Caenorhabditis elegans: one gene and its partner. The protein of the gene in region 2 purifies or fractionates together with the protein of the main gene of each other region. This does not show direct contact. Each region holds a gene or a part of one and is shown on either strand. Other genes may lie near its edges.

Evidence for each region.
Region 1: the proteins of dnj-30 (region 2) and smr-1 fractionate together in Caenorhabditis elegans (co-fractionation; one large-scale study listed by BioGRID). This does not show direct contact.

Annotation. Positions count from the first base shown.
Region 1 is NC_003281.10:1,139,025-1,154,895, reverse strand, and holds smr-1 (Tudor domain-containing protein), read right to left. Parts: upstream 11,725-15,871; 5' UTR 11,707-11,724; coding exon 11,581-11,706; intron 11,503-11,580; coding exon 11,425-11,502; intron 11,360-11,424; coding exon 11,263-11,359; intron 11,195-11,262; coding exon 11,070-11,194; intron 10,717-11,069; exon of another isoform or gene 10,628-10,716; intron 10,046-10,627; coding exon 9,752-10,045; 3' UTR 9,685-9,751; downstream 1-9,684. Other genes in the region: cdh-12 (Cadherin domain-containing protein), read right to left, coding at 1-124, 188-346, 1,145-1,477, 1,975-2,135, 2,789-2,852; acsd-1 (2-amino-3-carboxymuconate-6-semialdehyde decarboxylase), read right to left, coding at 12,046-12,219, 12,713-13,078, 14,445-14,531, 14,800-14,901, 15,767-15,826.
Region 2 is NC_003279.8:2,713,137-2,730,566, reverse strand, and holds dnj-30 (J domain-containing protein), read left to right. Parts: upstream 1-9,091; 5' UTR 9,092-9,097; coding exon 9,098-9,127; intron 9,128-9,576; coding exon 9,577-9,897; intron 9,898-11,299; coding exon 11,300-11,463; intron 11,464-12,237; coding exon 12,238-12,439; 3' UTR 12,440-12,540; downstream 12,541-17,430. Other genes in the region: yop-1 (Receptor expression-enhancing protein), read right to left, coding at 331-557; snr-7 (putative small nuclear ribonucleoprotein G), read right to left, coding at 3,263-3,367, 3,421-3,549; Y71F9B.6 (Cyclin N-terminal domain-containing protein), read left to right, coding at 3,916-4,038, 4,092-4,249, 4,301-4,428, 4,497-4,581, 4,660-4,809, 5,166-5,340, 6,400-6,840, 7,803-8,048; lin-17 (Frizzled-4), read right to left, coding at 13,212-13,337, 15,513-15,839, 16,159-16,447, 16,495-16,716.

The DNA of each region.
Region 1 (15,871 bases), on a different chromosome or scaffold from region 2:
TAGTCGTACGGGGTACTGTAGTAGTTGTAGGGGCTACCGTAGTCTTTGGTAATGCAAGATTCGGCGATTTTTCGACCAAATTTATAAAAGTTGTGGATTTCCGTGAATTTTCCTTTGCATTATCCTGAAAAAAATTTTCAACAATTTTTAAAAAAAAGTTTTTTTTTCCGAATTTTTTTGCACCCACCGAAACTATAAGCCTCAAGCTCATTGGGAGCTCATAGTTCCCAGTGACTCTTAACTGAATCTTGCGTGGAAGCTGATTCTCCGACCAATCAGCACTTCCGGAGATCAGTTCTCGGGATTTCGGGGTTTCCTCCACCAGGTCGATGCCTTTGTGGGAGTCCTGAAAATTTTCAGTTGGTGAAATTTTTCGAAAAAGTAACTTTAAATTCGAATTCAGCTCGGCGAGGGCTTTCATTTAAGTATAGTCATGACTAGGTTCCGATCATTTTGAAAATTCCACGAGATTAGGCTCCGCCTCTTTCTGACATGTTTCGAAAACAAAAACGAGTTAATACCCTTTAACTTTATAGAAATTTCTTTGCAGTCAAACTTAAATTTATACTGTTTATATAACATTCTAAAATATTTTTACCAAAAAGTGGGCGGCGTTTTTGCCAAGAAAGGGGCGGGGCTTAAACGCCAAGCACAGTTGTGCGTGGGTGTAACCTAGTCATGATTATAATTATGTGAAAGCTCTGAATGAACAAAAATCAATAAATGCCAGAAAAAACAAAGCTCAAACGGCCAGTTTCAAATTTAGAGCAAAGTGGGCGGAGCTAAAATAAAAATTGGGCGGAGCATAGACATGACTATTTTTTCTGAAAGTTCTCGCCTAGCTGATCACAAAAAACAGTAAAAAAAATTTCGGCATCGCTTTTCAACAAATTACTGCAGGTTTTGAGTTTTGCCAAGAAAGGGGCGGAGCCTAAATGGCTAAAACTATTATGCGTGGGCGAAACCCAGTCATGATTATACTTATTTTAAAGGGCTCATTGAGCTGATTCCGGAAAAATGATTGAAAATTTTGTACGACGTTTTTTGAAAAAAAAATAACAAAATTTTTAAAAAAGTGAGAAAACAAATTTTTCAAAAAAAAAAATTTTTTTAATATTTTTTGAAATTTAACTTTCTAGCTCACCTCCAACCAAAACATCAATCGATAACTCTCTTCTGGATCCCAATCAATTGCAGCGACAGGGGTTTCAATAATGCTCCAAATCGGCAAATTTGGCTCAACTGCCACCACATATGGCTCATGATAGAACTGTGGAGCAAATCGATTTGTTGGATCAATATGGAGGGTGAATAACGGATACGCGTATCCATTACATATTACTGTCACAAAAAGGTTCGCTTCTTTTAGTGTTGACGGGTAGACTGGTAGCGAGAGAGACGCAGACAGTCGGACGAGCCAAGTGGCTGAGGAGCCCGGGTCGGATCTATCGATTACTAGGTGATCAGACCAGTCGGTCTGAAATTTTATTTTTTCTATATTTAATTTGCAGGAAATTCAAAAAATTCAGAAAAAAACGGCGTATTTTTACAAAAAAAACTAAAATATCTCCATAACTAGCAGAGTTATTAAAAATTTTCCAACAAGGAATTTATAGAGCTTAAAATTCTGCACATTTTGTTAGTTGAAAATTTTTTGATAGCACTTACCATTGCAAAGTTACACACGTTTAAAGTTAAAGCGCCGAGAGAGCACAGGGTGGGGGGAGACGCAGACACTATCGTCGTCTGCGTCTCCCCCCTCCGCACACTATTTCACTGTGCGGGGAGGCGCGCGAACTTTAAACCTTGATAACTTTGCGGAGATTAGTGTTATCGAAAAGTTATAAACTAACAAAATGTGCAGAATTGTTAGCTCTACAATTTTACAGTTGGCAATTTTTTGATAGTTTTGCTAGTTTTTGAGTTTTTTTAGTTAAAAAGTTTTAAAAATAAAAAAAAATCAATAATACTCACCTCCTTGAACGCGTCCGATCTAACATTAGCGATCATCATTTCGGCGTCGGGCGGAGATACCGTACCCCGGAAAATGACGTCACCAATCGGCAGGTTTGATGGAACATGTGCATAGTACCCGTTTGTGCTTGTGAATTTGCATTGCGGCTTTGCGGTGGATTCTGGAAATGTTTTGAAAAATTTGAGAAGAACCATGTTTTTTTTGGGATTTTTTTTTCTAAAATTCGTAGCTTCATTGATTTTTCAGATTTTGTGATTATTTGAGGCTTAGAATATACATAAACCTTCCAATTTTGCAAAAAAAAAATTATTCGAAAACTTGTGAAAAAACTACAGTAACCCAAGAAGTTTTCGTGGTGGGACCCAATGATACTTTTTTCGAATTTTCAGATATTTTGATGAAATTCTGCCAAAAATCTGCAAAAACCGTCAAACTTTAAGAAAAATTGGAAACTTTTAAAATTCATGAAAAAGCTACAGTAACCCAAGAGGTTTTCGTGGCGGGACCCAAATTTTCGAAATTTTAAAAATTATTTTCAGCTCAAAATCTGCATAAGCCTTCAAATTTTGGTAAAAAATAAAATTTTGATACAACAGTGCGTAAACTACAGTAACCCAACATCTCTTCGTGGCGGGACCCAATAATTTTTTTTTTGAAAATTGGTAACATTGTCAAATTTGAGATTTTTGAGATTTTTTGTATAAACTTTGAAACTTTATGAAAAACTAAAATAATAGAACTCTGTACAGTAACCCAATTGGGTTTCGTGGCGAGACCCAAATTTTTGAAATTTTTTAAACCTAAAAAACTCACCAACAGCTTCTATAAAAGTGCCAAAAACTGCGAATAATAGTATGAAGAGGCCAACATGACCCATTTTTCTGCAAAATTTAAAGTTAAATTATATGAAAAATTCAAATTTTTCCAAAAATAAAAAATAAGAATTCAACGCCGAAACCGTTGTCGGAACATATTACCCTCTGCGCTAAAGCCACCGCACACAGTGTTAATTGGTTTACGGAAAATGTCGGAAAAGTGAAAAAGGAGACGGGGGGCTAATGGGTGGTGACGACGGTAAAAGTGAAGAAATGGATATGGCGGAGACAAGTAAAAGTGTAGTAGTGGACATGTATATGTACATGTACAAGGTTAATAGAAAGTGACTAGTTTTGTTTTTCAACTCAAAAAACACATATTAGTGCTAAAAATTCCAAAAAAAATTAGCTGGGCTTCTCGTTTGTACTTGTTTGTGAAGGTTACTATAATTTTGGAGAAGCTTCTGGAAAAATTGGAAAAAGTTTTGAAAAGGTTTTGGAACATTTTGCAAATTTTTGGAAAGTTTTAGAAAATGTTCAAAAATTTGGAAAACTTCTAGAACGTTCTAGGAACTTCTGAAGAGCTTTTTGAAATTCTGGAATTTTTTGAAAATTTAAGACAATTTTTAAAACTTTACTGAAAGTTTTGGAAATGTTTTAAAATTATTGAAAAAACGGGAAAAGTACTGGAAAATTTTAGAAATTTCTGGAAAATTCCAAAAACTTTTGGACATTGCTAGAAAATTCTGGAAAATGTTCTGGAATTTCTAAATTTTCTGGAACTTTTAGAAGTTTATAAAAAGTTTCTGGAATCATTTTGGAACATTGGAAAGTGTCGAAAAAGTTCTGGAAAATATTAGTGCAACTGGAAAGTTTTTATAAAATTCTGCAAATTCTAGAAAGTTCTGGCAATTTTCTGAAACTAGTTAAAAAATTCTGAAAAATCTAGAATTTTACAAAAACGTTCTTAAAAAATTCTAGGAGAATTTAGAAAATTCGAGAAAGGTTTGGAAAATTTCTAGAAAATTGTGGAAAATTCTAGAAACTTCTGATAACTTTCTTAAACTTTTTTTTTAATTCTAAATGTTCTAGAAACTTCTGAAAAACGTTTTTGAAAATTCTAGAAAATTTTAGAAAGGTTTAGAAAGTTCGAGAAAGGTTTGGAAAATTTCTAGAAAATTGTGGAAAGTTTTATAAAATTTTTGGAAAAATCTAGAAACTTCTGGAATGCTAGAACCTTCTGGAATTTTCTGGAAAAATCTGGAAATTCTAGAAACTTCTGGAAATTTATAGAAAATTCTAGAAACTTCTGGAAATTTATAGAAAATTCTAGAAATTTCTGTCAACTTTCTGAAACTTTTTTTAAGACTCTGAAGAAACTTCTGAAAAACGTTTTTGAAAATTCTAGGAACATTTAGAAAAGTTTAGAAAGTTCGAGAAAGGTCTAGAAAATTTTCAAAAAACTCTGAGAAGTTTTAGAAAATTTCTGGAAATTAAAAAAAAATCAAATTTTTTTTTTCGGAAAAGTCTGGAAACATTGGATATCTTCTGGAAGAATTTAAAATATTTTCTAAAATAGTTCCAAATTTCTGAAACTTTCGAAAACTCAGAAAACGTTCCGGAAATCTTTAAAAGCTCAAAAATTAAACTTTCCCAAAATTACAGTAATTCTACAGTAACTCCAACAGTACTCTTACCGTACACCTACAGTACTACTACAGTACCCCGACCATATCCCCCCACTAACCCCAAACCAATATCCCTTCAAAAGACGAAAAGTACTTTTTCCGAAACTACAGTAACCCTACAGTATCCCTACAGTACCCCGACCATATCCCCCCACTAACCCCAAACCAATATCCCTTCAAAAGACGAAAAGTACTTTTTTCCGAAACTACAGTAACCCTACAGTACCCCTACAGTACCACAACAGTACCCCGACCATATCTTCCCACTAACCCCAAACCAATATCTCTTCAAAAGACGAAAAGTACTTTTTTCCGAAACTACAGTAACCCTACAGTACCCCTACAGTACCACTACAGTACCCCGACCATATCCCCCCCACTAACCCCAAACCAATATCCCTTCAAAAGACGAAAAGTACTTTTTTCCGAAACTACAGTAACCCTACAGTACTACTACAGTACCCCAACCATATCCCCCACTAACCCCAAACCAATATCCTTTCAAAAGACGAAAAGTCAATTTTTAAAACGTTTCGGAAATCTTTAAAAGCTCGAAAATTGAATTCTCCCAAAACTACAGTAATCCTACAGTATCTTCAAAAACCTAAATTACATGAAAATTCTGAATTTTCAAAAACTATTTCAGTTCAAAAAACCTATACCTTATCCTAAAAAACCAATGACAAAAATCGAAAACGGGCATGGAAAGAGAAATGAGACGGAGGAGGGAGACCTACATAAAACAATGTGTGTTACTAATTTAGGACATCTTCCCCCCTTTCGGGTATCTTTCCTTTCCATCCAGTGATGGATGCTTGGGGGAAACGATACTTATCGCCTTACCGCAACACCAAAAAAAGAAAGGACAAGATTTTTGGTCATGGTGCATCGAAAAAAGGTCTCGAAACGATTTTTGCAACAATTTTTCGGTCATTTTGGAAAATTTTAAATTAAAAAACACCTATTTTTCAAAGAAAAAAGTTGTTGAATTTGAGCTTTTTTTTTTAATTTCAAAAAATTCCGAAAAAAACCGGCCTAAAAATTTGGCACTTTTTGGCGCTTTTTGGCAATTTTTTGGCACTTTTTGGCAATTTTTTGGCAATTTTTTGGCACGTTTTGGTACTTTTTGGCAATTTTTTGTGATCGGATTTTGGCGCGAAATTTGAATTTTTGACCATTTTTGTGTTGAAATTTGAATTCCGCGCTGGCAGTTCGTCGGTTTATCGATTTGGCGGAAATTTTAAATTCCGGCAATTTGCCAGTTTGCCCATTTTCCGAAATTTTAGTTATTTTCAATTCCGGCAATTTGCCGATTTGCCGGTAATTTTCAATTCCGACAATTTTCCTATTTGCCTGAAATTATCAATTCCAGCAATTTGGCGGTTCGCCCGTAATTTTCAAGCCCGGCAATTTTCCGATTTGCCCAAAATTTTTAATTCCGGCAATTTGCCAATTTGCCGGAAATTTTCAATTCCGGCAATTTGGCGATTTGCCGATTTGCCGGAAATTTTCAATTCCGGCAATTTTACGATTTGCCGGAAATTTTAAAATCCGGCAAGTTGCCAATTTGCCCGAAATTTTCAATTCCGGCAATTTGGCGATTTGCCGGAAATTTTAAAATCCGGCAAGTTGCCAGTTTGCCCGAAATTATCAATTCCAGCAATTTTCCTATTTGCCTGAAATTATCAATTCCAGCAATTTTCCTATTTGCCTGAAATTATCAATTCCAGCAATTTGGCGGTTCGCCCGTAATTTTCAAGCCCGGCAATTTTCCGATTTGCCCAAAATTTTTAATTCCGGCAATTTGCCAATTTGCCGGAAATTTTCAATTCCGGCAATTTGGCGATTTGCCGATTTGCCGGAAATTTTCAATTCCGGCAATTTTACGATTTGCCGGAAATTTTAAAATCCGGCAAGTTGCCAATTTGCCCGAAATTTTCAATTCCGGCAATTTGGCGATTTGCCGGAAATTTTAAAATCCGGCAAGTTGCCAGTTTGCCCGAAATTTTCAATTCCGGCAATTTGGCGATTTGCCGATTTACATTTTTTTTTGATAACTTTATTCTGATACTAAAAAAAAATTGAGAGAAAAAGAGAAAGAGTTGAAAAAAAAATGACAATTTTTTTTTACCGATGCTAATTGTGTAAAAAGTCGGAAAAAACAACTACTACTACCGAAGAAAACGAAAATGTCTAAGCTTGGAAATAAGCTAATCCGGACTGGAACAGGCCCCACCCCACCTTTTTTTTTTGATCTACCCATTTTCCCACACAATCTCCGGCGCTCAAGTGATTGAATCTTCAAACTTTCAATTTCTTATCAGCGCCGGGGATAATCGGGGGCGCCGTACAGTTTTCTCCTGGGCGAGGAGGAAAAAAGTGAAAAGCATCGGGGGAATCGAGAACTGATAAAGGAATTCTCATCCGCCGTGAGTGTGTATGTGATCAGTAGCCGCCGGGACGGGTGGGTAAAAAACTGCATAACGAGTCACGAATTGATGATTGGGGGAAAGGATTTGTGACCCGCCAATTTTCGAGGAATTTTCATGTGATGTGGGGAGGGTGAAGCTGTGTTTGTGGAAAAAGGGGGTATATCACTTTTTTTGACGAAAAACATTAGTTTTTAAAAAATTCCAACAGAAAAAATTCGGTATTTTCTGAAAATTACACCAAATTTGTGAAAAAAAATGCCAGTTTTGCGAACATGGTGGCATCTTGATGCATAGTTTGGGAAAATTGCCTTTTCGTCTTTTGAAGGGATATTGGTTTGAGGTTAGTGGAGGGATTTGGCCGGGGTACTGTAGGGGTACTGTAGGAATGCTGTAGTTTGGGAAAAATTGACTTTTGAAGGAATATTGGTTTGGGGTTAGTCGGGGGATATGGTCGGGGTACTGTAGTAGTACTGTAGGGGTACTGTAGGAGTACTGTAGGGGTACTGTAGTAGTGCTGTAGTAGTACTGTAGGGGTTCTGTAGGAGTACTGTAGTTTTGGAAAAATTGACTTTTGAAGGGATATTGGTTTGGGGTTAGTTGGGGGATATGGTCGGGGTACTGTAGTAGTACTGTAGGGGTTCTGTGTTTTCGTTAAAATTAAAAATTAGGTGCAAGTTTTGACCCTTGATGCACCATGGCCGCGCCAAATCCCGGCGGTGGCCTAGTTTTTGCAGCTCGGCCACCGTGGCGGTGCAACAAATGGTGAAACATGTGCTATTACAAAATTTGAATTTCCAGTGAAAAATTTGAACGGAAATATGCCGGAAAACTTCATTTTTAGCTAAAAATCTATCAAATTCGGCGGCAACTTCAAATTTTTGAGATACATTTTTTTGGCGCGAAATTCGAATTTTCAAACCTTTTCCAAACTTTGGCAAATATATTATATTTTAAACGAAAAAAAGTGGAACGGTATTACGTATCCGCTAGCTAGCCGGCGGCGGCTAATATGTACACACGGCGGGCGAATGGAAAAACTAGTGAAATAATAATAGAATAATAAGAAAAACGCACGAGTAAAAGGCGCGCACCGATTAGAAATTAGCCTCCCATCTTCACTTTTCGGCTAGTTTTCACCTCTTCAGGCGCTGCTGGAGACAGTCTGATCGATGCACCATGATCAGAAAGCCGAGTTTTCCTGGAAAGAAACTGGAAAATTGTCAATCACAACAGGCATTTTTGGCGCGAATTTAAATATTTCACGGCTAAAAAGCGCGTTAAAATGTTTATTTTTTGGAATTTTTTCAAAAGTGTTAAAATTCAAGGATTAATTTTTCCAAAACTACAGTAATCCTACCGTACCCCTACAGTACCCCGACCATATCCCTCCACTAACCCCAAACCAATGTCCCTTCAAAAGACGAAAAGACAATTTTTCCAAAACTACAGTAATCCTACCGTACCCCTACAGTACCCCGACCATATCCCTCCACTAACCCCAAACCAATATCCCTTCAAAAGACGAAAAGACAATTTTTCCAAAACTAAAGTAATCTTACCGTATTCCTACAGTACTCCTAGCGTACCCCTACAGTACTACTATTGATTTTTTTTTCTGATTTTTAACTCGCAAAAAATTTTCCTTTGGTCCACCCCCGCGGTGGCCGAACTGCAAAAACTAGGCCACCGCCGGGTTTTGGCGCGGTCATGGTGCATTGAAGCTCAAAATTTGCACCTACGCTCAAATTTTAACAGTTTTCAAAATTCAAAAATTATTTTTCCTTAAACATTGATGTTTTTTTTTTCAAAATTTTCCAAAATTTTCGGAAATTTGAAAAAAAAAACCTTTCGAGACCTTTCTTCAATGCACCTAAACTACAGTAATCCTACAGTACTCCTACAGCACCCCGACCATATCCCCCCCACTAACCCTGAACCAATATCCGTTCAAAAGTCGAAAAAGTCAATTTTTCTCAAACCACAGTTATCCTACCTTTTCCAAAACTACAGTACCCCTACAGAACCCCTACAGTACTACTACAGCACTACTACAGTACCCCTACAGTACTCCTACAGTACCCCTACAGTACTACTACAGTACCCCGACCATATCCCTCGACTAACCCCAAACCAATATCCCTCAAATGACAAAAAGTCAGTTTTTTCAAAAACTACAGTAATCCTACATTACCCCGACCTTATCCCCCCACTAACCCCAAACCAATATCCCTTGAAAAGTCAATTTTTCCCAAACTACAGTACCACTACAGTACTACTACAGTACCCCGACCATATCCCCTCGAAAGACGAAAACACTTTTTTCCAAAACTACAGTATTCCTACAGTACCCCTACAGTACCCCGGCCATATCCCCCCACTAACCTCAAACCAATATCCCTTCAAAAGACGAAAAGTCAATTTTCCCAAACTACAGTAATCCTACAGTACCCCTACAGTACCCCGACCATATCCCCTCAAATGACAAAAAGTCAAGTTATCCCTAACTACAGTACTACTACAGTACCTCTACAGCACTACTACAGTACCCCTACAGTACTCCTACAGTACTACTACAGTACCCCTACAGTACGCCGACCATATCCCCCCACTAACCCTAAACCAATGTCCGTTCAAAAGACAAAAAAGCCAACTTTTCCCAAACTACAGTAATCCTACCGTACTCCTACAGTACCCGACCATATCCCCCGACACCTGAAACGATCCACCATGTCCGAAAAAAAGTGTTTTTTGGCATTTTTTCACAATTTCCGGGAAAAAATCGAGTTTTTATTATATCAAGAACACAAAAAAAGTACAGTAAAATCGGATATACAAGAGAGCTCAAAAAAGTGAATCCATAGCTCCACGGGTGGCTTTAAAAATGAACTGAGAGCTTCTCGACGAGACGATCGTTCCTCGCTTCTCTCCGCCGCCGCCGCTGCTGCTCGCCGAGCCATCCTGGCTTGATCCTGTCGCCGAAACCTTCTTCAGGCCCTTCAGACCTTTCGCGTTGGCTTTTGTGTTGAATTTTTGCCAACTTTTCTTCTCGCCATCCTTTATCGAGTCGAGCTCCTTCTGTTTTTGCTGTTTTTTGAGCGCTTTTTGACGTCGGCGCTCCTTTTCTGCTTGCCATTCCTGGAAATTTGAAAAAATTTGATTTTTTTTTTGAATTTTTCAGCAATTTCCAGCAATTTTCATGCTAAAATTCAAATTCTCCGCTTAATTTTACCCCAAATGGACCTTTGTCAGGGCCTATAGCTCAAAATTTGAATTTCGAGGGTTACGGTAGCGCCAAAGTACGCAAACACCGCCTAGGCACCGAATTTTACGAAAATTTGCATAAATTGGCTGAAAAACGGGCTACGGGGGTAAAAAGTGATGGAAAAGTCGATATTTGGGCTGAATATCTGTGAAAATTACGAGTTTTTCGGTAAAATTAAAAATTTGGGCATAGCTTCCGCATCTCCGAGTGACAAATGTGCTTTATTGTCAAATTGTTGGCAGAAATACGGTATTTACCTACATTTTCAGCCAATTTAAGACTGAAAATGTAAATAAAAACAGTTTTTATGCCATCAATCCGAGTAGAAGCACATGAGTCACGGAAATATCGATTTTTGGGATTTTCTAGAGATTTAAACTAGAAATTTTGCGATTTTCAGTTTAAAATCGTTTTTATCGTCTATATTTGACATAAAAATCCAAAAAAAATCGATGAAAATGGCTTAAAACCATCATTTTCAGATTGGTGGCCTAGAAATCCCAAAAGTTAGGCCACCAATCTATTTTGTGCAAAAAACCGATTTCCAGGGGTAAAAATGAGTGAGAAACTCGATTTCCAACTGAAAATTTGAGAAAAATCACTTTAAATGTGAAAAATCAAGATTTCTGCATTTTGCCGTAAGACTTGTGGTGTTTGCGTACTTTTGGAGCTACAGTACCCCGGAAAGTCCAAAAAATCGATGAAAATTTCACGAAAAAAGCCGTTTTATCCGGAAAAACGTCAATTTCTAGAAATTCCTGCAGAAAATAGTCGATAAAAGCTGAAAAAGTGTCAATTTTTGGTGATTTTTGCGATTTTTAGCTCAAAAATATTGCAAAAACGGGGTTTTTCTGGTTTTTTACAGAAGAACAAGGAATTTTTTCCATTTTTTCCAACCTTTTTGCCGTGTTGAGTCGATGGTCCGGCCGCCGACTTTGTGTTATCAAATGCATAATTTTTTCGCTGATTTTCGGGCGGGAGTTGGAGATCAGCGGGATCTACGATGGTTTTCGTGCCGGTAGCTGAAAAAATACGAATTTTTGGTGAAAATTCACGATTTTTGGGCTAAAAATCGATAAAATCCCCCTACATGTGAAGGTAATAGCCACTCCGGCGGGCGTAAGTGAGTCGATTCTGGCGAAAACCTTTTTTCCGTCGGGATGTGGGGCGATAACTCGTTCGCCGACCTGAAAAATCGATTTTTAGCTGAAAAATTGGCGAAAATCGGGGTTTTTTCGCTGAAAATCCGTACCGTCCACTTGTGAATCACTTGCGGAGCCACCACAGCCCTCTCTGATGATTCTGCCTTGTCGGTTTCCGCCAAATCTTCCTGAAAATTGGAAAAAAATCAGTTTTTATTGATTTTTTTTCGAAAATTTTGCATTTTCTCCGCTTTTTTTCACACTACCTGCAGCGAAATAATCTCCCCGAGGTCTTCCTTCAACTTGAGAAGCTCCACATTCGTCGGATCGCCGAGCAAAGCCGCCTCGACCTGCTGGAGCTGAAGTTTGTAAGAGGCGAGCTCTTCCTCCATTTTTCCGCTATTTTTTCACTGAAAATGCTGGAAATTGGCAAGAAAATCGAGAAAAACGATGAAATTTGACTGAAAAATGGCAAAAAATCAAGAAAAATCAAGAAAAACCGGCGAAAATCCGGCGAAAATCGATGAAATAAAATGTATTTTCAAAAAGACGAGAAACGCGTCAGCAAAATCGAGTATTGCGCCAGCAACCCCACTCTTGCGCATTTCTCGTTTTCGGCGGGTATTTGAATGTGAAAACATCGTTTTTCGAACAAAAAGTCTAAATTCTTTATTAAAAACCAATAAAAACCCAACATGTCCCAATAAAAATCAATAAAAACCAAAAAATGATCAAAAATCCTTATTAAAAAGCAAGTTTTCATCGATATCCAGCATTTTTACAGCGTTTTTCCACAGCAAATCCTCCCTGTCCTTGGCAGAAAATGGCTTATACTCTTCCACAACTCTTCCAACTTCAAGCTCGCCAAGCGGAAATGGGTAGTCGGTGCCAAGCACTATATGCTCCTGAAAAATTGAGAAAAAATGATGAAAATTGACGGATTTCTCGCGAATGTCAAGTTTTTTTCGAAAATTGTCGCTTCGAGACCACAAATTTCTTGATTTCAAGTTAAAATTTGAATTGAGCAAGTCAAGAGCTTCAAAATAAGCCCCATATCAACTAGTTTTCGTCAAGTTTGACAGATTTCGCAATATTTCTTGGGTCTCGCCACGAAAACTTGCCTCAGCTTCTGCAAATTCGTGGCAGGACCCAAAAAATTTGAATTTTTGAATTCAGCACATTAACACCTTTCATTTGACACCCATCTTGCCTAGGTTTTCGAAATTTTGTGAATTTTGGGTGTCGCCACGCGGGGTACTGTAGCACCAGTTTCAGCTGTGTCGAAACAGGAAAATTCAAAATGAACGTAGCATAGTCATGATGGGCGTCATTTGAAAGCTGACGACGCGGGGAATTCGAATTTTCTATCTAGAACTCTCTAAAATCAAAATTGCACACCTTTCCAACGGTATTTATCAGCAGTTCGAGAGCTTTTGGGTCATGAACCAAGCTATCCGTCCACAGTAGCCCATCGAGCTTATTCGGAGCAACTTTACACTTTCCAGCACACAAGTCTGGCCTAACATTCCATCCGTGAGAAACTCGGCCACGAATCTGTGGGTAGGCGCCGCCCCCATGTGCAAAGCAGAGCTTCAACTTGGGGAAGAGCACCAAAATGTTGCCCATGAGCACTGAGCAAATGGCTTGAGCAGTTTCAGATGGCATTCCGACGAGCCATGGCATCCAGTATTTGTCCAGCCGCCCGTCCCACATGTGCATATCCCAAGGATGCACAAAGAGCACCACCGAGAGCTCCTCGCAAATCTGAAAACTAGATTTTTGATTTTTTTTGATTTGAAAATATTTTAGCTGGATTCGTCTCGCCGAGAGCTTTCAAATGACACCCATCATGACTATAATCAGGCGATTTTGAATTTTCTAGCTTCGACACAGCTGAAACTAGAGCTACAGTACCCCGCGTGGCGAGACCCAGAAAATTAAAATTCGACGTAACCTAGGCATGGTGGTACTTAAATTAAAGCTCTCGATGAGCTGAATTCATTTATCTAAGTTTTGAGGGTCTCGCCACGAAATTCACAAAATTACTGTAGCTTTGAATTTTTGAGAAATTCGAAAATTTTCGAAAATCTATAACTCCGTCAGTTTTTAAGATTTTTGAATGAATTTTGTTTTACAATGTAGGAAAATTATATTTCTGTATCTTAAAAATGTTATGCTCCAGCTGGCTACTGTAGGTACAGTACTCCTGGGGTTTTTCGTGGCGAGACCCCGATTTTCGAAAAATTCACGGAACCCAGGCATGATGGTACTTAAATTGAAGCTCTCAGTGAGCTGATTTCATACAACATATTTTTGTGGGTCTCGCAACGGAATTCGCTATGCCACTGTAGTTTCAATTTAAAAAAAATTAATTCGAAAATTTTCGAAAATCGATAACTTTGCCAATTTTAGAGATTTCCAAACAAATTTTGTTTTACAATGTAGGAAAATTATATTTCTGTATCTTAAAAATGTTATACTCCAGTTGGCTACTGTAGGTACAGTACCCCGGGGTTTTTCGTGGTGAGACCCCGATTTTCGAAAAATTCACGGAACCCAGGCATGATGGTACTTAGCGAGCTGACTCGGCGAGCTGAATTCAGAAAACATAGTTTTGTGGGTTTCGCCACAAAATTCACAGAATTACTGTAGCTTTGAAATTTTTTGAGATAAAAATAATTCGAAAATTTTCGAAAATCGATAACTTTGTGAGTTTTAGAGATTTCCAAACAAATTTTGTAGGAAGTCATACAGAATCTGTGTTTTAACACTGTAAAAATGTCAAATCTAGGTCAGCTTCTGCAGGTACAGTAACCGGATTGATTTCGTGGCGAGACCCAAAAATTTCAAAAATCTATAGAACCTAGGCATGATGGTACTCAAATTGAAGCTCTCGGTGAGCTGAATTCAAACAAGATAGATTTGTGGGTCTCGCCACGATATGCACAGAAAGAAAGAAAAATACTGTAGTTTTGAAAAAAAAATTATTCGCAATTTTTCGAAATTCAATAACTCTGTCAGTTTTAGCGGCTTGGATCTCAATTTAGTCATAAAATTTAGAAAAATTTCAGTGCATCATAAAAAATCATAAAAAATGTGAAAACTTAATTTTATATTGTAGGTACAGTACCCCTGGAGTTTTCGTTGTGAGACCCCAATTTTCGAAAAATTCACAGAACCCAGGCATGATGGTACTTAATTTGAAGCTCTCGGTGAGCTGAATTCAATTTTTTTATTTAAAATTCAAAAATCTCAAAATTGAGAAAAACAATTTCCACAATTTCCCATTTTTCCCCCTCTAAATTTCTAATTTTCCAAACTATATCCCCGGGTAAAAAAGCTCAGCGGCGGGTATATAAAATGTGCGTCAAACGATGAATAAATGATAGGCTCCGCCCCTTCTTGCCCTACAAACCGCGCATTTTTCCCGGAGGCGGCGACGCAGAATTTTTGATTTTCGTACTTTTTTTTTGCTGTCGACTAACCTTATAAAGCGGCCAAAAATCACGATGATCCAACGATTTTTCTGCCACGTGGGAACCAACTTCAAATCCTTTTATACCCATTGAGACGCATCTTTTGACTTCCTGAAAAATTGGAATTTTTTGAAAAAAAAATTTTTTTTAGGTCTTGCCACGAAGAATTATACTTTTTGGTAGATTTTCAACGAATAAAACTTTTTGATAATTTTAATTTTTAGCTCATTATTTTAGGCTTATTTTAAGCTAAAATTTAGCTAAAAATCTTTAAAATTTGCCAAGTTATGAGGTTTTGAACATTTGAAAAAAAAAATTTTTTGCGATATTTTAGTCCCGCCACGAAAAGTCCTGGGGAACTACAGTTCCGATTTTTTCAGTTTGTATTTAATTTTTCAATAAATTGACAAAATATTTTTCCATATTTCAAGCAAAAAATCACCTAAAAATCTTGAAAACTAAGAAAGTTACAAAGATTTGAATTTTTTTTTTGAAATTTGGAAAAAAAAATTTTTTTTGAAGTTTGGAGTCCCGCCACGAAAACCTGGGGTACTGTAGTTTTCAATTTTTGTGTTTTTTAAAAATTATTTTAGGCCAAGCATAAGCTCAAAATTTAAGCCTTATTGAGAGTTTTAAAATTTAAAAAAATTTGAAAAAAACATTTAACAAAAAAATTTTTTATTGTTGGTTTAGTATCGTATTACAAAGTTAATTCAGAACTTTTCTATAAAATAATTTTTTTTTGAAAAACTTATAAATTGAAAATTTACAAAGTATCAGTTTTCAGTAATTGAACTATCAAAATTCTGAAAATATTTTTTTTTCATAATTTTTTTCCGAAAACCTAAAAATTTCAAAATTTTGTAACTTTGTTAGTTTTTAAGATTTTCAGATGATTTTTTGCTTCACATATGCAAAAACACCGTGTTAATTTGATAAAATGTAAGTAAAACTAAAAAACCTGCAATTACAGTACCTCAGGACTTTTCTTGGCGGGACTCCAAATTTCAAAAAAAAAAATTCTTTTTCCAAAAATCTGAAAACTTTAAAATTTTGTAACTTTGTTGGTTTTTAAGATTTT
Region 2 (17,430 bases):
TGAAAATGTGATCCAATTCGAAAAAGAAAAGAAAAAGACAAGTAAAATCAAAACTTTTTTGAGAAAATCAACAAGAAAAGCTGTGGAAAATGGGCGGAGACAAACCCCGTGCGGCGGTGTTGCGAAAGCACGCTCCGCCCCACTTTCTGTGCGACAAAACTTTTTGCAAAATGCAAGGATCGATAAATAAATTTTGATAGCGTCCTCACAATCTTATGAGAATTTAAAAAAATCAACAAAAAAGAGCGAAAATCCGTGCCGCAGGGTTGCAAAATTACGCCCCGCCTCTTTTTCTGTGCGGCAGTTTTCTTTGTTGCAAAATTCGCGAACCTCATGTAAGCCGGGTAGACGAATCCCATAAAGTTGCACACAAGCTGGGCGGAATGTCCGAAAATGAGGTAGAGAGCCTGAAGACCGACGACGCCGAGCACCAAATGAAGCCGCTTGACTCCGGTCTTCTGCTCAACGGTCGCCAGCACGTTGGTGACGGTGCTCGGCTCGTGGAGCTGCTTGTCGACATCGTCCAAGACCTTTTGCACTTGTGGTGGGACAGGCATTGGGCGCTGGAAAATTGGATGTTGAGAGGAATGACTTGGCGGCGGAGAAGAAGAAGAGACAAAAAAGCGATAAAATAAAAAGAGTTATGATGTGAACCAGTCAGGGCTGTGCATTTTTATTCTGTTTCCGGGGTCAAAAATTCGGAATTCTGAGAGAAAGTGAACAGTTTGGGCCCCAAGCTAGTCCTCTGAGCCAAAAAATTGAGAAAAAAGTGATGAATTTATCACCTTTTTCAATTTTTATCTTGCTCAGAAGCCTAGCTTAGGGACCAAACCCCAGGTAAAATATTCTCAATATATTTAATTTATAAATTTTTGAGGTGGTGGTGTAGTCGAATTTTTTAATTGCTTTATTAGACTCAAAATTGTCTGAAAACACCGAATTTCATAATGAAACTTCTTGAAAACTTCTCAAAAAAAAAGTTTTGACGGCTGAAAAAATGGTCTAAAAATTTGTTAAAATTTTAAATTTGGCCGACTTGTCAAGCGGCTGGAAACTTTTTTTTGAAATTACCGTAAAATTTTGAGTATACAATCCAATTATCTTGCGTTTTCAACTCGATTTAGGTACTTTAAAGTCGATGGACGGCGAGATTTGGTTAAAAAAATTGTGAAATCTCGCCGTCCATGGACTTTAAAATACCTAAATGAAGTTAAAAACGCAAGATAATTACATTGTATACTCAAAATTTGACGGTGATTTTGTTTCCAGCCGCTTGACAAGTTGGTCGAATTTCAAATTTTAACTAATTTTAGGCCATTTTGGAGCCGTCATAAACTTTTTTTGAGAAGTTACACTATGAAATTCGGTGTTTTCAGACAATTTTGAGTCTAATAAAGCTATTTTTAAAAAAATTAGACTACACCACCTTAAAGAGAATAAAGATGCGAATTTTTTCACCCCCGAAAAGAAAACTTATACAAAAAAGGCGAAGAGTTCTTCAAATTGAATCTCCAAAGAACACACACACACAAATCGCATCAAAATGTGCCTATAGCCAACCGGAGCCGGATCAGCAGCAGCAGCAGTAGTAGTAGTAGCCAATAGCTGTTGAGAGGAGGACAGAAAGAGCGAGTGATAACTGGCCAAGTGTTCCCGGGAGAAGACGAAAAACCCAGAGAGAGAGAGCACGGCGAAAACGGAACGGGAATGGAATCAATCGATGATAGTCAAACGGCAACACAAAGGGCACAATCCATTGTGTGTGTGTGTGTGCGTGAGTGATTTGTCATTGAAACAACTTCAGAATGACATAGTGCCACGGAGGAGACGGGAGGAGAGAGAACAAAGTACAAGTGATTCGCGCCGGAGATCAGATCAAAATAATTTGAATTGATTTGAAATGTTCACCAGAAAAATTGTGGGTCTGCATTTTTAAAAGACGGCGTAAATGGGAATTATTACAAAATAAAAAACGCGGAATCATAACAGAATTAATTTTTTATTTTTAAAATCGGGATTTTGCAATTTTGGCTAAATTCCTTTAAAAAATGAACGATCAATCAGTTGGAGTGTGGAGAATTCAGCCAAAATTGAAAAAAATCGCGTTTTTTTTATTCGGATTTTATATTATTTCGCGATTTTCTTCCGGTTTTTCCTGAATTCGAGTCAAAACATTGGATTTTCTGAAGCTTTTGAAATTATTCGACTTGAAAAAAGGTGATTTTTCCTAATTATCACTGAAAAGCGTTCAATTTTCAAAAGAGAACATCGATAATTTTCGGTTTTTCTCAGCAAAATGTGAAATCGAAGTAGAAAACTCTTGTTCAAATCCAGATCAGGTTTGGGGATTGGCGCCAATTTTTCAAAATGACCTATTGTGACATGTTGATTCATTTAAAATTGATGTGAAATTATAGAAAATCACTTGATTTATCTAAAACAAACATTTATTTCAGTCGAAACACTTGAGGAAGAGCTCAAAAATGGCCTGAAATTAGCAAATTCAGGCTATTTTTCAGCATTTTCTCGCATGTTTCAACTGAAATGGGTGTTATTTTCAGATAAATCGTCTGATTTCTATATTTTGGCGAGAAATCAAGCGAATTCACTGAATTCCGGCTGAGAATCTGCCGCGTTTTGAAAATTGATATTTCAACTCTTCGACGGCTGCAGCCACAAGAGTACGGAAAGATGAGAAAGCACATCTCGTACAGCTTTCGGATGATGATAGGCGTGTGTGTGGAACATTTTTCTGTTTTGAAAGAAGAAAATAGGTCGGCAGAAAAAGAGATAAGAAGTGGGGAAAGAGTATTCTTTTTTGCTGCTGTTGTGCCGAGTAAGAGTAACGAGAAGAATAAAGAGAGAAAAATGTGGAGAGCGTCGTCGACCGCACATAGTGGAAAGAGAAGAGGGATACACAAGTCTCTCCGTGTTTTTGTTACTCTGTTTCGTGCCTCTCTTCAAAATGAACACTATTTCGTTCAATTTGAGCCGTGGAAAAACAAAATGCTGAAAAAAAGCTTTACGATTGATTTTTTTTATGCCTGCAATAATAAAACATAACTTTTGGTACATTTGTTTGTGAATTGATTCTATTTGCGAAGTTCTTATCTATACGAAATTCACGTGAATCAGAGATGAGAAGTGGGTTTTGACCACGTAGTTATCAAAAATTATCAAAAAAAAGGTTCAAAAATTTAATATCAAAATTTGAAAATGAAAACATTGAGAAAGTGACAGGAAATTGTGGAGATCGAAAAATCTAGGAGATTCTCTCCTTGGGCTCCATGATGACGACGGAGTTTCCGCGAATGACAGTCATGCCGAGGTTGACGGATCCTCCGTCCTTTTGGTACTCGACAGCTTCCTGCAATATTAAATTTTAGAATAAATTAGACAAAAACGGAAAAAGAAACATACGTCGATGACCATGTTCATGAATGGATCGAAACCGCGGAGGATTCCAGAGACGCGACGGTTTCCGTTGAGCTTCAAGTCCATCTCCTTGTCCATGTACTTTTTGAGCTCTGGTGGATGTGTCTTACTCATTTTTCTGAAAAATTGAGAATTTGCAGGGGGAAATGAAAATGAAGAATGGAAAAATCATCAAAGAAACAGATTTTACTTAAAATAGAAAATAAAGCTCATTTTTCAACTTCCACCTATCGAAAATTCAGATAATACATTAATTATAACATTTTTTAACTAATTTTTCAAAGAATAAACATGATAATTATCAGGAAAATTGGATGAAAAAGGCTAAAATCGACGAAATTATTTTTCGAAATTCGAATAGTACGCAAACACCACGCTTGGTACACCATAAATGACGACAAGTTGCAGACGCTTGCACACCGTACTCACACAATTCTTATCGGATTTCCGAGCTTTTTCTTTTCGTTTTTCCAATTTTAGATGGTAAAAAAGAAGAGTAACTATCATATTCTCGTCGCACAAAATTTCTTATCAAATATCAGTGTTGATGGAAGCCACAATGACACAAATCTTCGAATTTTCCAAACAAAAGGCCTTCCGAAGGTGAGAATCTTGGTTTTTCAGCGATTTTCGTAACTAATTGATAATTTTTTCAGATATCTCCAACGGAAAAGAAGTTTTCAAACGGCGCAAGCTCCACAACCACCATCCGCAACAATGAATCAGTGATCTCACTCGGAACATCCGCTTCACTCGGAGAACGGCTAAGCTCGTCGAATTTGCCGCAGGAATACGCGGAGACACCACAGAAAAAGTGAAAATTAGTTGAAAATCAATATAATTAATTAATTTTCTCTATTTATAGAACTTCAATCTTCCGAAGAATCGCGAAAATCATGAGCTCCGACGACGTGATCTATTCAATGACCGCCACAAACAGTAGATCTCCGATTCTTGAAGAAGGCGTCGGGAGAGAAGATAGTGGGCTGATTGGTGAGCTGGCGAGCTTATAAAAGCTTACAAAACTTGAAATAAAATAAATTAATTCAAAATTTTCACAGAATTTCGCTCAGAATCACCATCTTGTTCTTCAAATCAGTTCAGTTTTCTGAGAAGGCTCAAAAGCACCATTACCCATGCAGATAGGTGAGTTCAACCATCATAAAATCCTCTAAAATCCCCCACACTAACCGTTCCGTGTTGCGAACTAACCCACATTTTCAGATTTTACATCTGCACCTCGACGAATGGCCAGCCTCTGGCAGTTTTCTCGTATATCTCGCCGAACAGCGACTACGTGGATCCGCTGGCGCCGATTTTCGCCAACACAACCGTCAATAAGAAGAAATTCCGATCGAAATCGATTTTTGGAAGGTTTAGAATTAACATCTCCTCTATAATTTATATCTTCTACCTAATTTTCCCCGAAAACTGGCAATTATCTAACAAAATTTCACAAAAAAAGCGCAGGAATTCAGAAATTTCGGCTATGCGATCTTAAAGGCACATGGGTTTATTCAGCTGTGCATCGACGCGAAAAGACAGCATGTGGTAGTTTTTTTTGTTAAATTTTTCAGTTTTCAGACCGAAAAAAAGGAAAACAACGCAAATTTTCAGCAGAAAGTAAGAAAAAACGCTGCAATTTGCTAAAAATCCGTGCGCCTTTAGGTCAAAATCTTGAAAAAATACGATAAATTCCCATAATTTCACCTTATAATCCAATTTTCCAGCTCGGATCGCATGCGGCATCAGGCTCACTTATCAACAGAAGAGCTGCGGCCATTTGTCTTCCGAGACGCTGAAGATCAAGTAATTCTGGGGCAGATTCGCCGAAAGCGGAATCCTTCGCCGTTTTTCACGCTGTTCGACAAGTCGCCCGCCTCGATTTCCAGGAAAGAGCGGAGGGTGAGGCTTTGAATTTTGAATTTTAAGATTCAAAATCCGCGGAAAAAAGGCGAATTTTAGCTAAAATCTTCAATTTTACCGAGTTTTTCGTGTCGTAGCAGGCGAAAATTCGTATTTTTGCAAATTTTGCTCGTTTATTTCACTTTATATCGTTGATTTTCGTACTGTTTAAAGATGGAGTAGCGCCAGTGAGGAAATTGCTTTAAAACATGCCTATGGGGCCACAATGGCCGAATATCATGATAAAAAATTTTTGAAAAATGTTCTAAATTTTACATGATTTTTTGAAAATTGAAAAAATCTCAGTTTTTGCCTAATTCCTATTCGAATTTCCGCCAATTGGATTTGTTCGATTGAGCGCGCTTGCACGTTTTTAAATTTATTTATTTTATTTTTTGTTATTTTCCACCGATTTTTAATGTTTTCGGTGTATTTTTGCTCGAATATTAGAGAAAAAGTCAAAATGATTGCAAATTTTCAATTAAAAAGCACTCTTACAGGCGTAAATCAGTGAAATCAATTAATTCAGGTTCGAAATCGTTTAAAAGCGTTACTTTTTGATTTTTACGCCTGTTTGCTTTTTAATCAAAAATTTGCATTTATTTTGACTTTTTCTCTAAAATTCCACCAAAAATACACCGAAAACATTAAAAATCGGTGGAAAATAACAAAAAATAAAATAAATTAATTTAAAAACGTGCAAGCGCGCTCCATCGAACAAATCCAAATGGCGGTAATTCAAATAGGAATTAGGGGAAAACTGAGATTTTTTCAATTTTCAAAAAATCATATAAAATTTAGAACATTTTTCTGAATTTTTTATCATGATATTCGGTCATTGTGGTACCATAGGCGTGTTTTAAAGCTATTTCCCCACTGGCGCTACTCCACCGTTAAGGTCTGTAATAATGGATTTATGAAACTTAAAAACTGGCAAAATTGAAGATTTTCACTAAAATAAACCTTTTTTTCGGAATTTTTCGTTCACTTGAGCAGATTTTGAGTCTTAAAATGTGAATTTTAGGTGAAAAGTTGATAAAAAATCGAAAATTTTTACAGGAAAGCTTCCGAAACGGCGAAACCTCGGAGGAAATGTTTGCGGAAACCATCGAAGTTCCACAAGCCGTAAATCGAGATTCAAGCTATGAACGTGGAACTTCAATCGATGAAAAATGCGATTTAGACGCCAGCCGATCAGATGAACCATCATCAGAAGTCATCGATGAGTACGATCCGATCGCATTTTCCGAGTTGGGAATCGGAAAACGGACTGTAATCCGTCACGAGTGTTGCGTGGCAAGCACACTTCATTGTGAATCGGCGGAGAGGGCGAAACAAGTGATAAATGAGGATTTCGAGGCGAAATACCCAATGATTCATCTGACATTGAGCAAAATGAAGAGTTTGAAGCGAGAAATGGCAGAACTTGGGGTCTCGAATGGAATTGATGTGTATACGGTGGCAACTGCTTATGTGTACTTTGAGAAAATTATTCTTAAGGTTAGAAAGAACGAAATTGCAACGATTAAGCTTAAAAAGTGATTAAAAAGCTCAAAAATTGCGAAAATCTGAAGAAAAAACCTGATAATGGTTAAAGGGAGGCCGCATTTGGAGGTGGATGGGTCTCGCCGCGAATCTCGTTTAGCAATTAAGCTATGCGCCTTTAAGGTTACTGTAGGCAATTTTCAAACTTTTTAAATGCATTTTCTAGTCGATTTGAATCGAAAATCTTTTTTTTCCATTGAAAATCTAAATTTTTAGAGCGACTTTTAGCCCAAAAAGCTTTAATCTTAGTTTATAATCGACATAATGCAACAAAAAATAGAAAATAGCATAAATTACGTCTAAAAAATGATTTAAAAGCTTAAACTTTGAGAAACTGTCGGAAAATTCAAGAAAAAATCTGAAAATGGTTAAAGGGAGGCCACATTTGGAGGAGGATGGGTCTCGCCGCGAATCTCGTTGAGCAATTAAGCTATGCGCCTTTAAGGTTACTGTAGACAATTTTAAGTTTTTAAAACAGTTTCTAATCGATTTAAATCGAAAATCTTTTTTTCCAGAGAAAATCTAAATTTTTAGAGCGAATTTTAGGCCAAAAAACTTTAATTTTAGTTTATTATCGACATAATGCAACGAAAAATAGAAAATAGCATAAATTACGTCTAAAAAATTATTTAAAAGCTTAAACTTTGAGAAACTGTCGGAAAATTCAAGAAAAAATCTGAAAATGGTTACAGGGAGGCCACATTTGGAGGAGGATGGGTCTCGCCGCGAAATTTGTAAAGCAATTAGGGTATGCGCCTTTAAGGTTACTGTAGGCAATTTTAAAAATTTTAAAATATTTTATAGTCGATTTTAAGCTAAAATCAGTTTATAATTATTATCAAAGCTGGTTTTTTTTTAAATTTCAATTTTTTTGAGATTTTCATATCTATTTAAATCTAAAATCAATTTTTTTCCAGGGTCTAATCTCAAAAGTCAATCGAAAATGTGTCGCCGGAGCCGCTCTCCTCGTCGCCCTTAAAATGAATGATTACAAGAAGTCTACGATCAAATCGTACATCGAACAGGCCGAAGATCAGCTCCGCGAGCCGAAATCCGATCTTTTGGCTTATGAGCTTCCAATTTGCTCGGTGCTCCAGTTCAGGCTTCAGCCAACAATTGATGAGATTCAACCACATGTAGATAGATTGCAATTTGAGATGTGAAATATTGTTATTATGTAAACGCAGAAAAATGTGCTTTTTTGAAATCGTGGTGCAAGCGCGCTCCACGGATAATAGTTGGGTCTCCTTAAAGGTGGACTACGCTCAGTGGAGAAATTGCTTTAAAACACGCCTATGGGGCCACAATGACCGAATATCATGATATAAAAATTCAAAAAAATTTTCTAGATTTTATATAATTTTTTGAAAATTGGAAAAATAACAGTTTTCACCTAATTATTTTTGAATTTCCACCAATCGGATTCGTTCGATTGAGCGCGCTTGCATTATTTTTATTAATTAATTTTATTTATTCTCGTTATTTGACTGATTTTCTTCATTTTCTATGTTTTTTCCTCGGAAAATGAAAGAAATAAAAAAGACAAACGCAAAATGTTTGTTAAAAAGTAATTGAAAATGAGTAAAACTGTGAATATACTAATTTCAGGCTTGTTGTCGTCGGAACTCAGAATATCAGAGTTTTAATCATTTTCAATTCAAAAATAATTGGTTGAAAACTGTGATTTTTTCAATTTTCAAAAAATCATAAAATCTAGAAAATTTTTTTGAATTTTTTTATCATGATATTCTGTCATTGTGGCCCCATGGGCATGTTTTAAAGCAATTTCCCCACTGAGCGTAGTCCACCTTTAAGTATTGGCGAGAAAACCGTAATTTCAAAAGTTTTCAATGATTTTTCGTTGGTTTCGAGGTGAAAATCATCGAAAATTGTTAAAAATATTTAGATTTGGCCGCCATTTCTAACGAGACCCAACTTTTAGCAGAGGAGCGCGTTTGCAACTTGGTTTTAAAATACGGATTTTTCCGCGTTTAAATAATATGCAATTAGTTTTTATGTACTCAATCCATGACCCTTTTGAGATTATTTCTAGTCGACATTTTTCAAATTTAATAAATTTGGTTTTTTTTCCCTTATTTTTTCTTCAGATTTTCGATTTTTTTGCGTTGAATGTCGCTATTGTCTATATATTTTTTTCCTTAATATTTTTCCTAAAATCTAATTTTAAAAAAAAAATTTTTTCCAGCAAAAAATGTCCCAGTTTGAGTCATTTTATCAGGATGTAAGTTTTTTTTTTCAAAAAATTTGAAAAAAGTGTACATTTCTTGGTTTTTCTGGAATGTTTCGAATTTTCAGACAGTTTTCCGCGAAAAAATATTAATTTTATGTGGAAATATCGATTTTAGGGCCAATTTTGAAGTTTTAGCGAGTTTTTTCAGCTGGCTATCAATTATAAAACTATAAAAAAAATAAAATTTCGCCAAAACTTTGAAATTGGCTTCAAAATCGCGAATTCCAAATAAAATTTTTATTTTTTAAAGAAAACTTGGCTGAAATTTTTAAAAATCCAAAGAAAAACCACAAAATATGGCCAGAAAATGCGCGGGAATTCAAAAATAATTCTCAAAAATTTTTAAATTCAAGAGAAAAATTTGAAAAAAAACCAATTTTTTTTTGAAAAAGTTGAAAAAAACCATTAAAAATTTTAAAAACATTTTTAAATTTTTCCAGCTAAAATCCACGGAGCAACAGGACGCGGCTCTTACTTCTGAGCAACAAATCGAGCGACTTTTGAAGCCCGGTTCCACATATTTGAACCTTAACCCATATGAAGTGCTCCAAATCGATTTGGACACGGATATCGAGGCGGCTAAGAAGAAATACAAGAAGCTCTCACTACTTGTGCATCCGGATAAAAATCCAGATGATCGAGAACGTGCTGACAAAGCTTTTGATATTGTGAAGAAGGCGATTAAGCAAATGGAGGATCCGATTGAGTTGAATCGATGCAAAGATTGTTATACGGAGGGAAAAGCTCGGCTTGCTATTGTGGTACGGAGCAACTATGAAGATTTGCATGGAAATTCTGAGAAAATTTTTTAAAAAATTGGATTTTTCTGGAAAAAAAAAATGCCGAAATTTGGATTTTTTTTTTCGATTTTTTAATCAAAAAAAACGAAAGAAAAATCACAAAAATTCATCCCATTTTTCTCATTATTTTGTAGTTTTTCACTGAAAATCGAAAAATCCAAAAAAATTTTTTTTTAGAAAATGAACAAAAAAAATTCTAATTTATGTTGATGTGAAAATAAAATAGAAAAAGCCAAAAATTTGCAATTTTCGCAAAATATTTTTTGAACAAATCTGAAGACAATTATTTTTTATATTTTTTTTCTTCAAAAAATGAGGAAAAAAAACTAGAAAAAAACAAAATTACTGATATAAACCAAAAGCGTATTATTTTAAAAATAATTTTCCAAAAAATTGAAAAAAAGTAAATTATCAAAAATTTACTTTTTTAACGTTTTTTTGGAAAAAAATCGTTTTTTTCTTGATTATTTTGTGAAGAAAACGTAGTTTCGCAAAAAATTTCATATAATTCGGAAATTTTTCGTTTTTTTGTAAAAATTGTTTTTTTAAAATTCACTCGAAAATCCAAGACCACGAAAAAAATTAGTTTGTATCCTAAAAATTAAAAAAAAAAATTTTTGAAGCAAATTTTAATCAAAAAATTATGTTTCTTCGAAGAAAAATTGTAATTTTATACAAAAATTATGAAAAGTGAACGAAATTCGAGGGAATATATATATATATATAAAATTTTAAAAAATACATTTTTCAATTTTTTTGTTGAAAAAAACCAAAAAAAAACCACAATCCACAGTCTCCTCGTCATCGAAAGCGCACAAAAAACTGCTTACTGGCGCGTTTCGCGTTTTTGCTAGCGCATTTTGTGGATTTTCCGAAATTCAGAAATTACGCGGAAAATAGGCTAGAATTCCAAAATTACAGCCCCGCCTCTTTTGATAATTATCTTCAGGATGAAGAAGATGATCGCGAAGGTGGGTGACTTGAAATATACAAGAAAAATATGATTTCTTTAGAGAAACACCATTTTTACCGTTGATTTTTTAATATCCCTACTCCTCCTTCAGTTTTTGACCAAATTTTCTCTTTTAATGGTCTTTCATTTCATTTTGTGCTAATAAACAAATTTTAAGTTCGAAATCTGCGAAAAAATTCGTTTCAACGCTAAAAAACGACGAAGTTTATTTTTCAACACTAAAAAGATTCACTCCCTCCCCCGGCTGCGCCAAGGTGTGAGCAAGTGCGCCCCAGCCCAATTCGACGCCGAGGAGACTGTGCAATCCTACCTCCAAGATCGTTAACAAAAATCAAAAATTGTATATTTTTTTTCTCAAAAATTCATTTAAAAAAACCGAATTTCTTCCAGATGTCGGAGAAAAAGCGAAAATTGCGAAAAGATGGAAAAGAAGATGTGATTGAAGAAGATGATCCAGCTGGATACAAGAAAGCTCTGTGGATTACTGTAACAAAAGTGTTTGCTGATCGAGAGAAGAAGAGAAAGATGCTTGAAGAGAGGGCGAATGAGGAAAAGTACGGGAAATTGATAGTAAATTGGAGAAAAACCGAATTAGGATCAATTTCTAATTAGAAATTGAAAAAAATTGAAAAAATTGAAAAAAAATGGAATAGAAAAATCGGAAATAACAAAGAAAAATTGAGATAAAATCACAAAAATCCGAGTTTTCAGAAGAAACAAAAGAAGAAAAATTCCAATTTAAAAAAATTAATTTTGTAATTTTTTTGGTTTTTTGCTTAAAATCAAGTAAAAAATGTAAAACAATTTTTTAAAAATTAAAAAAAAAGTAAATTTGGCAATTTTACTGTTTCTTTTTTAAGAAAACTTTTTTAATTTTAAGAAAAATAAAATACAATTGATTTTTCAGATATTTATTTCAAAAAACTGAATAATTTTTAATAAAAAATGCAAAAATTGAACAGATATTAAGAAAAAAATTATTTAAAAAAAATTGAATTTGCCAAAAATTTCTGAAAATTTTCAGGTTTATTTATATCAAAACCATATATTTTTTGAAGTTTTCCTGAAAATCCTTGAAGAAAATAAGATAAATTGATAAAAATCCGACTTTTTTAAAAGAAAAATACAATAATTGGTAATTCTCATTTTCCAAAGCGGAAAACCTCAAAATTTCGGGTTAAAATATCTAAAATCTAGAATTTCTTGGGAAGTTTCGAATTTTGCTCTAAAAAATGTTGTATTAAAAATTACATTTTTCTGAAAACTCATTTGAAAACAATTTTTTGCATTCAAAAATTGCCTTTAAGAAAATCACAAAAATTTTTCAGACGCCGCTCAACTGAAGCGTTAGTCCAAGCAGCAGAGAAGCGTAAACTGGCCGAAGAATTCGCGAAAAACTACGAAGAATCTCGTGACGAACGTTCCGGAAGCTGGAGAAATTTCCAGGCGAAAAAGGCGAAAAAAGAGGATAAGGGAAAGACGTTGAAGGGTGCAGCATTCAAACCTCCGAAAGTTAAACTTCAGAAATAATTATTGATCTCTTTGAATTTTTCTATTTATTCTCATTCATTATATTCCCATCATTATTGTGTAAAATCTCAACAAGTTTTTGTAAAAAATTATTTTATTCGAATTTTTTTTGTAAAAAAACCATTAAAAACCTCCAAAAAATTACGAAAACTGGAAATTTTGAAGTTTTAATTTTTGTTTAAATTTAATTTCCGGATATTTTCAATTTTTTCCAAATTTATTTGAAAATTCAAAAAAAAACGATAAACCAAATTTAAAAGTAAAAAGTAAAACGTATTCCCATCATTAATACAAGAGTGGAATTGCCGTTCGGCAAATTTTTATCGGGAAATTGCCAGTATGCCGATTTGCCGAAAACTTCAGTTCCGGCAATTGGCCGATTTGCGGGAAATATTCATTTTCGGCAATTTTTCGATTTGCCAAAAATTTAAATTCGTGCAATTTGCCGGTTTGCCGGAAATATCAATTCGGGCAAATTGCCAATTTGCCGGAAATTTTGAATTCCGGCAAATTGCCGATTTGCCGGAAAAAAATCGTTTGCCGCCCACCTCTGCATTATTGTGTAAAATCTCAACAAGTTTTTTGTGAAAAATTTTTTATTATAGTTTCCTTGAAGAAAAAAAATTTCGGAAAAAGTAGAAAAAACCCGTAAATCAAAAGTAAAGAGAGAAGAAATGATGGTTGAATGCATTAAAAACAAACAAAAAATAATATAAAGATCATCGGTTTTGTCATGGGAAATTGGGATGAAATGGGCGCGGAAAAATCTCGCTCAGACGACCTTACTGGGTCTCCATGAATTCTGAGGATTCGTCGCCATTTGCATGTATACCGGTGGTTGTGGTGGCGGAGCAGTTGGTGGCTCGAGCAATGGACGTGTTGATGGCTCGATTGGGTTCTGAAAAATTTGCGAAATTTTTAAGTGAAAATTTTGGATTTTGCGCGTCAAGTTTGGTTCATTACGGAAGCAAAAAAATTCTGAGAATGCGTATTGCACAACATATCTGACGCGCAAAATATCTCGAAGCGAAAACTACAGTAAATCTTTAAATGACAACTGTAGCGCTTAAATGGACACAAGGGCTACAGTAATCATTTAAAGAATTACTGTAGTTTTCGCTTCGAGATATTTTGCGCGTCAAATGTGTTGTGCAATACGCATTCTCAGAATTTTGTATTTCTGTAATAATTGCTGTGTTTTTTTGGTTGCTTTCAAAAAGAAAAGCTTTTTTAAAAGGAATTTCTCAATTTAAAATTTTCTTTTTTTTGCGAAAAATACTCACCTTAGATTGTTTTTTGGTACTTGTGAATTACATGCCCTCATTTTCAAATTAAATTAAATTGTCATTAATTTCTCCATATACATTTTTCATTTTTCCTCTTTAGTCTTAGAAAATGTTTTTTTTCCTAACAAGGGAACCCCGTACTTGATCCGTGGAAAGGACAAAGAAAAAGTATACCAATCGAAAGTTCATGTTACTGGCTACTCGAAAACAAAATAAAATTCTGCCAGTTTTGCCTATAAATCTGAAATTTTTGCGTCTGAAAATTGGTCTTTGCGCCTCATGATTTTCAATACTTTCTCATTGTCTTTCGTTGAGAACTATATTTTCACGTGTAAAAAAGGCTACACAAAAGTTTTACAACAGCGAACACCGATTGAATGGCCGAGTGGTTAATGCTATTTTTTATAAAACATCTTGTCTTTGAAGCTATGCAGCTCCGTTGAAAAAAATCTGACAAAAAAGTGATCAACTAAAAAGTTGTAGATTATAACTTCATCTAGAATTTTTTAGTGAAAAACTTTCACCAAAAAAATTTGGTTGTCGAGATATAGACGTTATACTTTCTAGAATATTCTAAAAAGTTGTAGCTCTTTTTCAAAAGTTTCCAGCTCGACAACCAATTTTTTTTGGTAAAAGTGTTCATCTGAAAAGTTTTAGATGAAGTCATAATCTACAACTTTTTAGTTGATCACTTTTTTGTGAGATTTTTTTCAACGGAGCTGCATAGCTTCAAAGACAAGATGTTTTATAAAAAATAGCATTAACCACTCGGCCATCCAATCGGTGTTCGCTGTTGTAAAACTTTTGTGTAGCCTTTTTTACACGTGAGAATATAGTTTTCAACGAAAGACAGTGAGAAAGTATTGAAAATCAAGAGGCGCAAAGACCAATTTTCAGACGCAAAAATTTCAGATTTATAGGCAAAACTGGCAGAATTTTATTTTGTTTTCGAGTAGCCAGTAACATGAACTTTCGATTGGTATACTTTTTCTTTGTCCTTTCCACGGATCAAGTGCGGGGTTCCCTTGTAAGCCTAGAAATACAAATTGTGGTTCACGTTTTTATTTTTCATGGCTTAAAAATTACCATTAAAATGAGGGCATGTAATACACAAGTACCGTTTTTTTTTTAAATTTTGTAAAACAATTTTAGCAATTCCTCCAAAAAAAAATGCATAAAAAACTATTTAAAAACGATTTTTTCGGGCTTAAATTCTCAATTTCAGAATTTTTTGTTGGTTTTGCGCGTCAAGTTGGTGTAATTGCGTCCGATGCGTTCTATTTTACGAGCAAAATTTAGAATTATCCGCTTTTTTTGCGAAAAATATTCAATTTATCCTGTATTCTCATTTTGTAGCAAAATAATACAAAATTCTGAGAATGTATATTACAACATATTTGACGCGCAAAATATGTCATAGCGAAAACTACAGTAATTCTTTAATTGACTACTGTAGCGCTTGTGTCGATTTACGGGATCTCAAATGAATTGTGACATTTTTTCGGTATTGTGTTTACTTTAAAAAAATTATCCATTAATAAATGATTTCCGTAAATCGACACAAGCACTACCGTAGTAAATTAAAGAATTACTGTAGTTTTCGCTTCGAGATATTTTGCGCGTCAAATGTGCTGTGCAATACGTATTCTCAGAATTTAATGTTACCGTAATAATCAGGAAATGTTTTTTTCAAACTGTATTGTAACTGTAACTGTACAAATTTTTGTTTCTCTTCCTAACAAAAAGTCAGTCAAGCAATTTTCAATAGAGCACATTTCCTTACTCACTTTAACCGGCGCCGACGAGCACATTCCACAGAAGATGAAGTTCTTCCAGGCGTGGACGGTCTTCGCCGACAACACCCACATCAGACACGAGAATCCTGTGGCGAGACTGGAAATTACGGCGGTCATGTAAATTTCAGCCTGCGGCGGTGTCGGCCGATGACATGCACCTGACTGTTGTTTACAGTCAATTGTCATTCGGGTCCATTGGGTGAGAATCATGAATTTATAGCATTGACAGACAAGTTCGATGACGTTGGGAAGGATGAATAAAGCACAGAAGAAGCCCATTTTCACCATTAGTTTCTCCAATTTCGATGTGTCTGTGCCCTGAAAATCGATAAATTTTATTGATTTTTTTACGGTGTGATCTACGAAAAATGCGGATTTTTTTTTCAGCGTTGATTTTTGAGCTCGTCTCGGATGAGTAAGTCTATTTTTGAAATTTTTTTTAATTTTTCAGATTTTTTCCAAGCTTTTTCAAGACTTTATAAAAATATTTTAGATTAGAAAAATTAGAAAAAATTACTGAAAATAGGTAATTTCTATATTTTCTAACATGGTGCATCGATGTTAGCGCACAAAAATCGTTCAAAAATGAGTGGCCTAGAAAAAGAGATAAAAAATTCGGCCATTTAATAAAACTCACCCTTGTTCTGAAACTAATTCTCTCTCTGCACATGCTCGCAAATCCTCCAACAATAAAACATGTTCCAATAACAATGCAAATAGTTCGGGGAACAATCACAAACCAGAGCAACGCAATCGAATTCAAATTCCCAACGGAGCAAAGAGCGGTGAGCTCACTCGCGTCGACTTTGTTGAAAATGAGCACAATAATCGTGGCCAGCGACGACAATCCCCAGGCAACAAAATGCACATAACTACTGCATGCTTCGATACCTTCTGGCACCCATTTCCTTCCACCGCTCAAATACCTACAATATTCCCATGGTGGGATTAACTGACATAATAAGTGGCTTACAGTGTAAATGAGAACATTAACCACCAAAGGGCAGCCGCTGTACTGAAGAAGTAGTTAAGAAGGAATGAGGCAAGACAATATGAATTGTCAAATGTTCCGATTGACAGGTATGACCGCCCGTTTCCAAGTGCGTGGCAGGATCGGATCGGAGCATCGATGAAGAGTGGCGTGAGGTATGGGAGGGAGGAGATGAAGATGCACAGGGATAGGTAGAAGACGCATCTGGAAATTTTTTGGAATTTTAGATTCTCCAGGATTTGCAGTATGCTCTAATTTGTTCAAAAAGTTAAAAGAAAAAGCTGATTAAAATTTGTTTTTTAAAATCATTTTGAGAATCAGGAGCTTCCAAGATATAAAAACAAAAAATACAGGTAATTGATTTTTCTACGTGGCCTAGAAAAAGCAAAAACTCGGCCAACGATTTTTGTCTGATTTTTCGCGTAATTTCTTTCTGAAACTTGCCTATAATGGTTTTGGAAGGAGTTTCTATCAGGAGTGGGCGGCAGTTGCCGTTCGGCAAAAAATTCTTTGCCGTTTTGCCGAATTGACGGAAATTTCCAATTCCGGCAAATTAGCCGAAAATTTCCAATTCCGGCAAATTAGCCGAAAATTTCCAATTCCGGCAAATTTGCCGGTTTGCCGATTCTCCAAAAATTTTCAACTCCGGCAATTTGCCAATTTTCCATTTGCCGGAAATTTTTAGATGGATTTTTTATAAAACCGAAATACTTAAAACTGTGCCGTTTTGAAAAAAATTTTCCCGTTTTCTATATTTTAGATATTTTCATAGAATTTGCTTACTTTTCAAAATAGATGTAGGAACATTGATAGGATGCCTTTTTTTTAAAAATTTTACCGATTAAAATTGAATTTAAAAGAAAAAAAATCTGAAACTTCAAAAAGTACAAAATCACAACTTGCCAAAAATTTTCAGCA